Linked DNA regions of Mus musculus. The protein of the gene in region 1 interacts with the protein of each later gene in a pairwise test. Links are inferred from orthologs where the notes say so. Each region holds a gene or a part of one and is shown on either strand. Other genes may lie near its edges. The genes, in order: Hnrnpf, Hnrnpm and Hnrnpul1.

Region 1 (4,326 bases):
TCACTTGTGGGTTACACAGAGAACTGAAATTTTTTTGGTAAGCAAATGGTCAGTAGTTTTATTTCGGCATTTACTAAAGTCTTAAATATAATCACATATAAAACAAACATTTCAGAGTTCCAGGACAGCCAGGGCTACAAAGAGAACCCTGTCTTGAAAATCCAAAAAGAACAAAATAACCCCCCCCCCAAACAAAACCAAACATCTCAAAAGTACAAAATACAGCCAGGCGTGGTAGTGTACACCTTTAATCCCAGCAATTGGGAGGCAGAGGTGGGCGGATTTCTGACTTCCAGGCCAGCCTGATCTAGAAAGTGAGTTCCAGGACAGCCACAGCCAGGGCTATACAGAGAAACCGTGTCTCGAAAAACAAAAGAAAGCTGTTACACACACACACACCCCCTTGTATTAGCTGTGCTTCGTGATACATGCCTTTAATGCCAGCAATTCACAGCACTATGGAAGCAAAAGTAGGTGTGTTGCTTGAGTTTGAAGCCAGCCTTATCTAAATATACAGTAATTTTGCGCCAAGGCGTAATATAATAGTTAGACCCTACCTCAAGAAACAAGTAATCACTTTTGCATTTACTTTTAGATCCAGTGTGCCCAGGCCTTCCTTCAAATCAAACCATGAATCTTTTTTAAAAATTACTACAAAAACGGGCATAATACAGACAGAATGGGGCTGACAAAGCGTGCCTAAAGCCTGCCATGCCCAGTAACTACTAATGGGGTGTGGTCGAGTTAGTACTCCAATCTAGAGGTGGAGCTGAGTGATCTGGAATTCAAGGTCATCCTCTGTGGCTACATAATGATTTGTAACTTAAAAAAAAAAAAAAAGGCTGGTAAGACTAATGGCAACACGAGGGAGATAAGAAAAGCAGAAAGTTCAAAATTTAAGTCAGGATTTGGTCTGTAAGACTGTTCTCAACTGAGATCTACCTCCGAGCGCTGAGCGCAAAAGCATGCATAGCCACCCGGCGTACTCAAAAGTACTTCGACATTGTTCAATGGGCTAACGCACTTTTTGCCAGACCTTAGCTACCTGCGCTCAGTCTGAATACACAGATGGAAGAACTGAACCACGTTTTGACCTCCACTCCGCAGCACGAAGGGAAGAAAGACTTAAGTATTAACTATTTCCAGATATCGTCTGTCTTGTTCAACTAGAAGAATTAAATATTTAAACCACCCCCTGGACAGAGCGATAGATCATTGTGACAGGGACCCTCAATTCAATCCCAAGGACCCAGTGCTGGAAAAATCCATTTCTTCACCTTATCCCCTCACCTCCACGCACAAATAAACATTAAAGGAAACCGACTAAAATAAGCCCAAAAGTTCCGTAAACAAAACTGCCCAGGTTCAGGAGACCGATCCCGCACAGCCACATGGCGGCCACCCGCGCTCGCTCGCCCGCTTACTCCGCAGCCCGACTTGCAGGTAGGAAAGAGGCCCATTTGTTTGTTCCCGGACTGGCAGGGGCAGAAAAGGTCGCTGGGTGGGAGTCTTAGGGCACATGGGGCTGCCTCTCCGATCCCGCCGGGTCGGGAAGGCTCCGGAGAGCACGCGCCGAGGGAAGGCCGAGCGGGCCCACCTCAACTTTTCCCAGACACGTGAGGCTCCACAAACACAGCACAAAAGTGCTCGTAACTGCGGCTAAGGCCGACTAACCCACCTAGGCAAAGACTCCGCACCCCACACGCTAACACGATACCTCTGGGGGACGGGACCGGCGCAGACCGGTGCTCCTAGCTCCCGGGCCGCCACGAGGAGGAAGCGAGGCGCTCGGCTTCGCTCGGGCCGGGCGTGGGCGGTGGGCGGAGCCGTCCCGCCCAGTCTTGTGAAACTCCGGGCGCCTCGGGCCACGTGAGCGCCCGCTCGTCTTTCTCCAAACTACAACCACCGCCCGGGCCTGCCGGGGGGCCGCTGACAGAGCGTAAGCCGCGGTGGGTGAGAAGCGCTCCACCCTCACCCCCCCCCCCAATATCCCGCCGAGGAAGCCGCGCCTGCGGGCGGGGTGGGGGGGCGGCTCTGAGGAAAGCCGCGCTTTCTCCGGGCGGGCGTGGGCCGCGGCTGCGGTCTCCCAGGCCCTCCGCACACCTCAGCCCAGAGGCCCGGCCCTACCGACCGGACTCCAGCCCTCAGTCCCCGCTCCCCCGACCGCACACCTCGGCCACGCGGCCCAATCCCCGTCGAAAATGCGCTGAACTTCGGCTCCCGACCCCAAACCCCGGCCACGCGGTCCCCAGCTCCGTGGGCAGCCTCCGCACGGCTATGGCTGTGCGGCGGCCACCTCGGCCCCGTTCCTTCCGAGTCCGGATCCCACGCCCGCCATCCAACGCCCGCCGGGCCCAGGCGCCAGCACACCCCGCCGGCGGCCCTCACCTCCGGCTTCTCGGCTCCACGCTCCCACTCACATCCGGACCTCGCCGGCCCTCAGAGCACCTAGAGGAGGGTGGAACCCCGGGGACTTGGCAGTTGTAGCTGAGGCAGTTGAGGCTTGTTTACTGTCACCATGGAAACCCCCACAGGCGCGCTCGCGGGACGGCCTCAGCGGGGCGAGTCAACCGCGCGGCCGGCCTGCTCCTCAACTCCCGCCTGCCGAGCGCCAGCGGCGCCTCCGGAAGCCCTCCTGATCCCCGGTCCGCTCCCCGCTCGGCCCACGCCCCGAGCACCCGGAAACAGTAGCCCGGGGAGCCCACTTTCCCTTCCCACAGCCGGCGTGACCGCGGGCTGGCCTTCCCCGAACCCCACCTTCAGGAAGACGAGGCGCAGTCCTCCTTCCACGACGGAGCCGGAAGGATGCAAGACGGTGATGGGGCGGAGCCTCAGGCAGCGGACATCCGGGCACAGGGCAGCCGCGGCGCCATTCTGACGAGCCCAGAACGGAGCCTAGGATTGGCCGGGGGAGGGAGAGGGGCGGGACTAGAGAGCTGTGGACCCGCCTCTGAGTCCCGGAGAGGACAGTGACGGCGCAGGCGCAAACATTGCGGGGGGGGGGTAGCAGGGGGAGGGGGCGGGCAAACGAGGGGGGGGGGGGAGACAGCAAGGTGGAGGGGGTTGTCCATAAAGAGACCTGTGGGCTGGTGAGTCGGTGGACGCTGAATTCTGCACGCGTGTCTCCGCATCCCGAAAAGTGATCCCAAAGGAATCAATGACCGCATGCGTGCGGAAAACTAGAATGGTGTCTTATGTAAAAGAAAGACCGCCTAAGGGCATCTCAGGCAGTCCGGAGGGATTTGTCTGAAGTTTCTAACTCTCAGCACTATGTGAACGCTGGGACAGATTTTCTTGATGTGTAATAATTTGGGAGGATTCTCTGCGAGATGTCGAGATACAAGCTAAAGTGAAGATTATTTTTGAAGCTTCCAGAGCCGCCTAGGCGGGCGTAGGAACACGAGCTGGTTCCTACGAACTCCATTTCTGCATGGAGGCGGCCGAGGCTACAATGCATGGTCGCGAGCTGCTGTCTATATAAACACTGGAGAAATTACAAGGCCGTTCAGAATAATCTCTGGTTATAAGTGAACTACAGTGATGAAGGAAACGTTTATAAAACAACACACCAGACTAACTCCAGAAAAAGGAAAGAAAACTTTGAGAGGAAAACCTGTCCAAGAAGAAAAATAGAAGTCAAATGATAGAAAACAGATGCTACAAAAGTTAGATAAGTATTCGTGAGCACTAAACCCAGAGCCTTGTAGTTGGCAAATTACATCCCCCACCTCTGATGTTTGTTTGTTTGTTTGCCCAGGGAGTGGGGCATTAAAATTGTTAAGTTCGTGCGAGTTATCACCACACTTTCAACTGAAGTCAGAGGACAATCCTGAGTGTTCTCTCCTTCCACCATGTGGGGTCCTGATCAAACTCAAGGTTGAAAGGCCTGTGCAGCAAGTTCTGCTGAGACCTCTCACCCTGCTCCTTGGGTGGTTTTATTTATTTTTAAAGTTCCTTACTATTGCCAGAGAAAGGTGCAAGTGACTTCTAACCTTGAAGAAGCCAGAGAGCAACTTTTCACAAGTATTTTCATTTCCCTTAGGTGAGTTCCAGGGGTCAAATTGAAGTTCCCAGATTTTTACAGCCAGAGGTTTCACTTTTGAGCTCCCTCTGTCTGACTGCAACCCAGGCTGGCTTCCAACTCTTGTTTTGTTTTGTATTGTTTCTTTTGGTTCCCCACACCCCCACCCTAAGACATGGTATCTCTGTTGTAAAGCTGGCTGTCCTGGAACTCACTATGGCTCCAATTCAGAGATCCACCGGCCCCTGCCTCCTGAGGCATAAAGTGAGAGATTAAAGGTGTGCCCAGCCACAACTGGTATTATT
Region 2 (4,132 bases), on another chromosome or scaffold:
AACAATTGTCTAAAATTCTAGTGCCAGGAGACCCAATGCCCTCTCTTGGCCTCCATGTACATGCATGTTGTGCATAGACACATACGCAGACAAAACATGCATTCTCATAATATTTTTAATAAAAAAAAAAGCAAGCTAGTGAGAAGGTTCACTAGGTAATATACATGCATACTTAACAAGCACGAAAACCTGGGTTCAAATCTTAGTCAAAAGGTGGGAAGAAAAAGACACTCTGTGCTTTTAAAAGAGTTTGTTTCAAGAACTTTGTGATGCAAAAATAACAATTATTTTTCACCCACACTACAAAACTAAGTGCTGCCACTTTCTCAGGTATCCTCCATTAAGCCAGTCTGAGACCACTCAGGTTCTTTCCCACAAGGGCTATTTCATCTGATACTTCCTATGCACATTCTGTCTGTCAAATGACTCAGCCACAAGTTATCTATCTGAATACAGACAGTGGAAATTTAAAACTGTACCATAGGACCGTGTTCTATTAAAAATGCAATCTTTCATATAGAAAGGCTCTAGCGGCATTGCATTCTATATATAGGAAATAATTTTTTGCCCCTGCAACAGGGTTTCTTTGTGTAGCCCTGGTTGTCCTGGGCTCTGTAGACCAAGCTGGCCTTGAACTCAGATAATCACCTGCCTCTGCCTCCCAAGTGCTGTGATTAAAGGCATGCATTACCACTCTGGACAGAAATTAACTTCCTTAAAGCTTTTTAAATAAGGCCCTCTGAAATCCTAGAAAGTGAACCAGACGTGGTAGTACACACCTGTAATTCCAGCAACTGGGTGGAGGTGACAGAAGCAGAGGCGTTGTTCTGAATTCAAAGCCATCACAGTCTACACTGTAGACTCTACAGTTTGCCCAGGCATCTAACTCAAAAACTGAAAACAACAAAGACTAGAAGAGGGAATCTGATCCTACAAGGCATCTCTATGACAAAAGCTGAAAAATCTGAACATGAGACTAACTAAAGGTGCTCAAGTGTAGCTCAGAGGTAAGAGTGCTTGTCTAGCATCCTCAAGACCCCGAGTTCCCAAGAGGATGGAAGGGAAAGTTAAAAATGAGCACACTCCTAAGCTGAGCCTTTCTGGTAGTAAAGAGAGGCCTCTTTATCCTTTTAGTACTATGGGGTGAACCCCAGGACCTTGTGCATCTTGAGTAACTACTCTATTAATGGGCTATAATCTACACACTCATACACGACAGGCAAGTACTTATGTAGCTTAGGCAAATCTTGAGCCGAATCAGCTCTGGAACTCACGCAGCCTCTCCAGTGCTGAATAACACACAAGAACCAGTTAACCAATGGTGTTTTACTTCTCCCTAACTAAGATAAAAGATATGAAATTTCCTCCAGTAACAAAATAGCCATTACTTGGTAAATGCTTCACTAACAAGTGTTTTAAGTACTCTCAACTCCCAGAGTCCTAAAACTTCCCACCTTATACATTTGATGGAAAACAAAAATTCAGAGACATGGGCTGCTGATTTTAGAACCAAAATGTTTCTCCAGACCTCCTCAAGCTGATATATTAGTATATCAGTATGAGGAGAGTTTCACAGGAGCAGAATCTTATGGTTTCCTCCTTGAAGAAAACTTTTTAGGGCTCAGAAAGACCACCCTGTGGTCTGATATTAGGAATCGAATCTAGGGACTTTGGAGTGCCAGGTTATTGCTATGTTTTCATCCCTCTTTTTGAGAGTTAGGGTCTAGCTCAATTTCCCAATGACTAAATGGCAACCTAGACTGAACTCACTCTATATAGTCTGGCCACACTTTGCACTCTGGATCCTGCAGCTTCCCACTCCTCCCAAAAGGCTGGGACTCCTCAGGCCATGCTAGGACACTTATAATAACGAATCAAGGTCCCTAGACAGATCTCCAAGCAGGATTCCAAAAAAGGGATGATGACGTCTGTCTATTTTAATTTCTGAAACCCCGAAGTGGTGCCTCTACCCGAACACTTTAGGTCTGTTGCTAAGGATGAACACTGAGCAAGCAAAGACCATTTCTCCCATTGGTACCAACTGCACTTTAGGAAGTAGGACTATAAAGAGGGGAAAGAACTCCAGCCCAGGAGCCCGGGTCCGGGGCCATTCTAATGGAAGAAGCACTTCTTGCAGAATGAGGGTAACACCGGTGTCTCGGAACCCCGCAACAAGAGTCATGTCGACACCTTCCGGGTCGCGCCGCCGACCGTACACGTGACACCTCGCACGCGCAAGCCTCCCGCCCCTAACTTCTCAGATCTGAGAAACTGAGACAGAATACTTCCACTACTATGGATTGTATGCTGAAGGGTTGAAACTACACAGTCTTAATGGTTCAACCCTCGAGACCCCAGTGAGAGGTGCTGCGGGCCCTGATCTCCCGCAGCCCGCGCGCCATCACTGCTCTGAGAATAAAATACCAGGCCACAGGCCTGAGGCCTCGACGACGCGCTCAGACAGCCAGGAGGCTGAGGCAGCGGAGGCAAGCGCTGTCGGCAGGGGGCGATCCATTAGGCTCTCCTGGCTTCGTCGTCGTCACAGCCTTGGCCGCCCCCAACTCTCGGCAGGGAAAAGGCCTGCGCAGACGCCGCGCCGCCGTGGGAGAAGAGAAAGCGGCCCACAGACCTAACGGAGCTGCGAAGTAACCTGGCTGGAGTTAGAGAAGGATCAATTGCTGTTAGACTACTCACCCCTTCGGGCCCGGAGCTCCGTTGCCGCTCGGCACGCAGGGCGCGCCGCTCTCTTCCTCCATTTTGGGTTCTGTCGCCGCCACTTCGGCTGCCGCTTCGACCCCTGCCGCCATTTTCTCCGCGTCTGGGCTTTGTGTGAGGGAGCGGGCTCTGTCGAGCTGCGCCTGCGCGCTCACGTGACCCCGAACGACCAGTAACGCCTCCTTGTGCGGCGACCGGCTCCCGCTTCCTGCTCGCCTCGGGTCACGCCCCCTGGACGTCAGGCCACGCCTCCTCCAGTGGCAGGCCTCACTTCCCGATGTCCGCAGATACAGTTGGGTTGTGGGACAGGGGGAGAGATATGTGTCGCTCATTCGAACTTACAATACGAGCGCACATACGGACCTAGTCGGTCCAGCTTACTTTATATTTTTCCGTTTTGTTTTACTCATTAGCTTTCTTTTTTGAGGCAGGGTCTCACTATGTAGCCCTCCAGCCTCTCCCTACCTACCAAGTGCAGGAAATAAAGGCAAGCACCACCACGCCTGGCCTTTTCTTTCTTTTTCTTTTTTCAGCAACTTCATATATGTATATCATGTATTTTGCGCTTGCTTGGGGTTTTGCTGTTGTTGTTGAGACAGTTTCTAGCCAATACTGGCCTTGAATGTCTGAGCTGCCGCCTACACCTCTTGAGTGCTAGAATGATAGGCCAGAGGAACCAGGCTAATCAGTGCTAGGAATTGAACCCAGTGATTTGAACATGCTAGCAGTCTATCAACTTCAATCCCTGACCCTATACTGTTCTTTTATCATATTCACCTACCATTGCCCTTTTATTTCCCGCATTTCCACTGTACCTTCTTTCCAACAAGTTCCTCCATGTACCTCCTTGTCTTTGTTTTATGACCTACTGAGTTGGGTTTGCTTGCAAGAGCATAGATTAGGGGTTGATTTATTGGGGCAACTAAATAGGTGGCTACAACACTGAGGAAAATGACACCTCTTTCCTCCAGCATCTACTACCAATAGATCTTCAGGGAAGGGTGAAGCCTCCCAAGGCTCCCCCACCCCAACATGATGAGGTTCTATCTTGTGCAAGTAACCACAACTGCTTTGACAATGTCCGTGGCATGTCAAGGAGAGATCAGCTTTCCTTAAATGGAGAAAAAATATAAAAATTATGTTGGCAGGAATTATTTTTATTGGGGGGGGGATGGAGGGGGAATGATTGAATACAGGCTTTGAGCATGCCATGGCTGGCATGTGGGAATTGATTTTCTCTTTCCAGTAATCAAATTTAGGTTGTCAAACTTGGCAGCAAACATCTTTACCCACTAAGACAGAGCCAACCCTGCATGCAGAATTCTTGACAGGTTAATATCAAACTAAAACTCTCCATGTAATTCAAAGCATTAGAAGAGATGTATAACAGAAACCTCCCTCCCACCCTTTTCCGACT
Region 3 (3,589 bases), on another chromosome or scaffold:
GACCTCTGCAGGTACTGCACACAGGTGGGGCACATACAAACACATATAAACACACACACATAAAGTAAATTTAAAAAATAATGAACTCTAAAAAGAAAATCTAAGCGAGGTTGTTGGGCCAAGTCACACTATTAGAATGACTAACCCAGGTCTGCCCAGTTCCAGAGGCTTCATTAAGCTACAGTCCCCATCACCTCACAGAAACTTCACAAGTGATTCCTAGTAATGTTTCTGTCCTTTATGTGGAAACAAGGACCAGAAGGGTCAAGCTGACTGTCCCAGGTCAAAGTCAGGTTCTGTTGGAGCTAGCGCTGAACTTAAGTCTTGCCAAACTCTCATTCTAGGAAATGTGCTGGCTGGGTGGCATCTAGGAGCACTCATCTGCTCCTGGCAAGTGTTCCCAGCTGCTCCCTGGCATGTAATGGGTACTCAGACAGCTGTGAAATAAAAGAGATGGCTTCAGTTCACCAGAACCCAGGCACTGGCTTCCTAAGAAATGGAACAGGGTCTGGAGCTATTAAGGGACAAGGTCCTTACTTATCTACCTTTGGACCCTGGCCTCCCATGATGGGCAAAAGGTGACTCAGTGGAGTGCTTTCTTATAGACCCAATGAGGCCAGTGACAGCCTAAAAGACATGATCTTGCTGATGGGAGCCAATGCTTGCAGCTACCTCCACCTTTGGGGAAGAGGGAGAATCTAGCCATTTCTATGTTTGACACAGCTGAACAGCAACTGCAAGGGAAAAAAAAAGGACAGGCTGGAGGGAAGAGAGCCGCAGACCCGTGGCCATACCTCAGACCTGCCTCCTCTTCTCAACACAAGTGCATACGTGTACAAACATACACATGGCCTCACCTGTGGAGGGGTGTAGCTGCTCACTGTAGGGGTGCTGGTATTGGCGCTGGAGCCAGGGATGTTGCTGTTTTTGTTGTAGCTGCTGGCTCCCGGAGGGTTCCGAGCAGGGCTATAGCTAGGTGGTGGTGGTGGTTGTTGTGGTGGTGGTTGTGGTGGCGGTGGCTGTTGTGGTGGTGGCTGTTGCTGAGGAGCCCGGTTATAGTTGCCTCGGTTGTTGGAGTTGTTGTTATCCCTGTTGTTATTACCCCAGCGGTTTTGGTTGTAGCCACCACCTCCGCTGCGGTTGAAACCTACATTAGAAAATCCATAAGAGGACTCAGCATGGCTGGCTGTGACCAAGACTGAGGTCAATAAAGCAAGCAAATGCAGGTGCTGCATCCATGCCTCCCCCAGGCCCTCAGCACACTTCCTTGTTCTTGCCCTGACACAACACCTAGAGTCACTGCAGACAGGTCTGTGCCTTCCAGTGGACTGTGAGCAGGCAAGGCACAGATGTCTTAGATGTGTTCAGCTCCATGTAACTGTTCAACAAATTAGAAAGGTGTTCAGGAACAATGCTAAGCAGCAGTAAACAGCTGCAAGCTAGTCAGATTATAGTCCAACAGGCTGGGCCAAGTGGCCTCTCTTGAGCCATTGTACAACTGTTTCTTGAATCTGTACCCTCATCAAACCAAAAGCAGGCTCCACAGAGACCCTTCCTGAGTTGCTTATCTACATGAAGGTTGTTAATTTGGTGTCATGAGGTCACAACATCCTTGGTCACTGAAGGGTCTAGAACATGTCTGATACACAGTTTTAAAGATGTGTTTGAAAGACATATTTTTATTTGGCATGTGTATGAAGGGATTGCATACTGTAGAGCTAGAGTTATAGGCACTTGTAAGCAGCTCAGTGTGGCTGCTGAGAATCAAACCTGAACCCTCTGGAGGAGCAACTAGTGCTTTTAACTGATGGGAGAGGTCTCTGGTCCCACATTTGTTAATTTATGATCACACTTTACTTCAGACACCATACCATTTATTAAGAATTTAGATTTTAGCTCACTGGACTCCCAGCTCAATTTAGCTCTGTGATCATGGGCAAATTAATTGCTCTAAGCTTGTTTCTTCACTTGTTTTTGAACAAAAAGCAGTTCTAATATTTGCCATTGTGAGATCTACAGATAGATCCCAAGATTCCTCAGAGAGTGTACGGTCAGATAGGGAAAGACCAACAAAGAGAGCACTGCCATGTGCAAATGGGCAAAGGCATCAGTGCGGCTGGGAGACCAGGCAGTGGGAAGGCCCAAGGCTGCAGAGTAGTAACTCCCATCAACCGGTTCCCACAGCCTGGCCTCAAAACACAAGGCTGGAGAAGGTAAATGTCTCACCTCCTCGGTAGTTGCCTCCTCCACCACCGCTGCCACCACCACCTCCCCGGTTCTGGAAGCCTCCTCGGTTGCCTCCAGGAGGGCCTCGGTTGTCATACCGCTGGAAACCGCCGCCGCCCCCACGGCCTCGGAAGCCTCCGCCTCTGCTGTCAAAGCGCTTCTCAGGGGGCGGGCCGGCCTTCCGGCCTTCCTCGTTGTATTGCCTCACCAGCTTGTCTGCCTCCTCCCGCTGGAGCTCAATGAACAGAACCTCATCCAGGAAGTCCCCGACATCAGGCAAAGTGAAGTTGGCTGGGAGGAAGTAGAAAAGGAGAGCAGGTCAGCACCTTCTGATGTCTGGTTCTCTTTACCTCAAATTATTGGTTCACTAGAGTAGGAAGGCTGAAGGAATGAGGTTAAGATGGGACCCCAACTGCTTGGTGTAAACACCGGCAGGGGCTAACAGACTCTTCCCCAGAGAGCAATTCAGGTCTCTCCAGCCTCACCTCAAGGTGCTTCAGAGGCAATGAAGCTACACCCCATCTCCTCCCACGGTGGAGCAAACTGAGGCTTGCCCAAGTGCTGGGGGCCAGAGGTGGGAGATGGTGTACGTCTTTCAGCTTGGGCTCTACACACACTTTCTTTCTCTCATGACACCCATCCCCATCCAGCCTGAAAGTCCTTCCCCAGCTGGAAGCCAGATCCCTCACATGTGGGTAACGGGAGACACAAAATAGAAACAAAGACCAGACCACAAAGGAATCACAAGGAGCTGAGAAGGGCCTTGTCTTGAAGATGCTGTTAAAATGGCCCCCAACCACTCATTTCCTACCTTTCATTTCTAAGACTGCGTGATCTGGGACATCCTTCCCTTCTTCGTCCGTTCGCTTTACTGTGCGGTCTTTGAGGTCCTCATCAGTTGGACAGATTACAATAGCTTTCCGCTGGAAGCCTTCAAACGGTCTCATTTTCCGTCTCTGGGCTGACCCATAAACATTGGTCTGAGGTAGGTAAGAGGCAGAGATTGGATACTCAGAGCCATCTCTCTTGCAGGGCATTGTGCAGGGAAACCATCAGAAAGGTAAAATACGAATCCTCCCAGCACAGACTCAGGAAATAGCTCCTTTTCACTTTTTGAACTCATGTCCATCTAAGCAAATGAAGAGACTTAGGAAACACAAAGAGGTTGGCTCCCAATAACTGGGCTTTCTGTTAATCCTATTTGTTACTGGCACTGTAGTTTAGAAATCCTTTCCCGGGCTGGTGAGATGGCTCAGTGGTAAGAGCACCCGACTGCTCTTCTGAAGGTCCAGAGTTCAAATCCCAGCAACCACATGGTGGCTCACAACCATCCGTAACGAGATCTGACTCCCTCTTCTGGAGT

Evidence for each region.
Region 2: the proteins of Hnrnpf (region 1) and Hnrnpm interact in binary tests that used the Homo sapiens proteins (3 or more experiments, as listed by UniProt). The two-hybrid records come from large-scale screens. The link is inferred for Mus musculus from reciprocal best matches to the Homo sapiens genes HNRNPF and HNRNPM.
Region 3: the proteins of Hnrnpf (region 1) and Hnrnpul1 interact in a two-hybrid assay, tested with the Homo sapiens proteins (3 studies listed by BioGRID and IntAct). The link is inferred for Mus musculus from reciprocal best matches to the Homo sapiens genes HNRNPF and HNRNPUL1.

What each region holds. Positions count from the first base shown.
Region 1 is NC_000072.6:117,905,271-117,909,596, reverse strand, and holds the start of Hnrnpf (heterogeneous nuclear ribonucleoprotein F), read right to left. Parts: upstream 2,816-4,326; 5' UTR 2,758-2,815; exon of another isoform or gene 2,488-2,757; coding exon of another isoform or gene 1,756-2,487; exon of another isoform or gene 1,679-1,755; intron 1,494-1,678; coding exon of another isoform or gene 1,392-1,493; intron 1-1,391. Other genes in the region: uncharacterized protein 4933440N22Rik, read left to right, coding at 1,392-1,493, 1,756-2,487.
Region 2 is NC_000083.6:33,682,573-33,686,704, forward strand, and holds the start of Hnrnpm (heterogeneous nuclear ribonucleoprotein M), read right to left. Parts: upstream 2,887-4,132; 5' UTR 2,808-2,886; coding exon 2,695-2,807; intron 1-2,694. UniProt on the Homo sapiens protein: Pre-mRNA binding protein in vivo, binds avidly to poly(G) and poly(U) RNA homopolymers in vitro. Involved in splicing.
Region 3 is NC_000073.6:25,723,698-25,727,286, forward strand, and holds part of Hnrnpul1 (heterogeneous nuclear ribonucleoprotein U-like protein 1), read right to left. Parts: intron 3,207-3,589; coding exon 3,038-3,206; intron 2,518-3,037; coding exon 2,227-2,517; intron 1,148-2,226; coding exon 858-1,147; intron 1-857.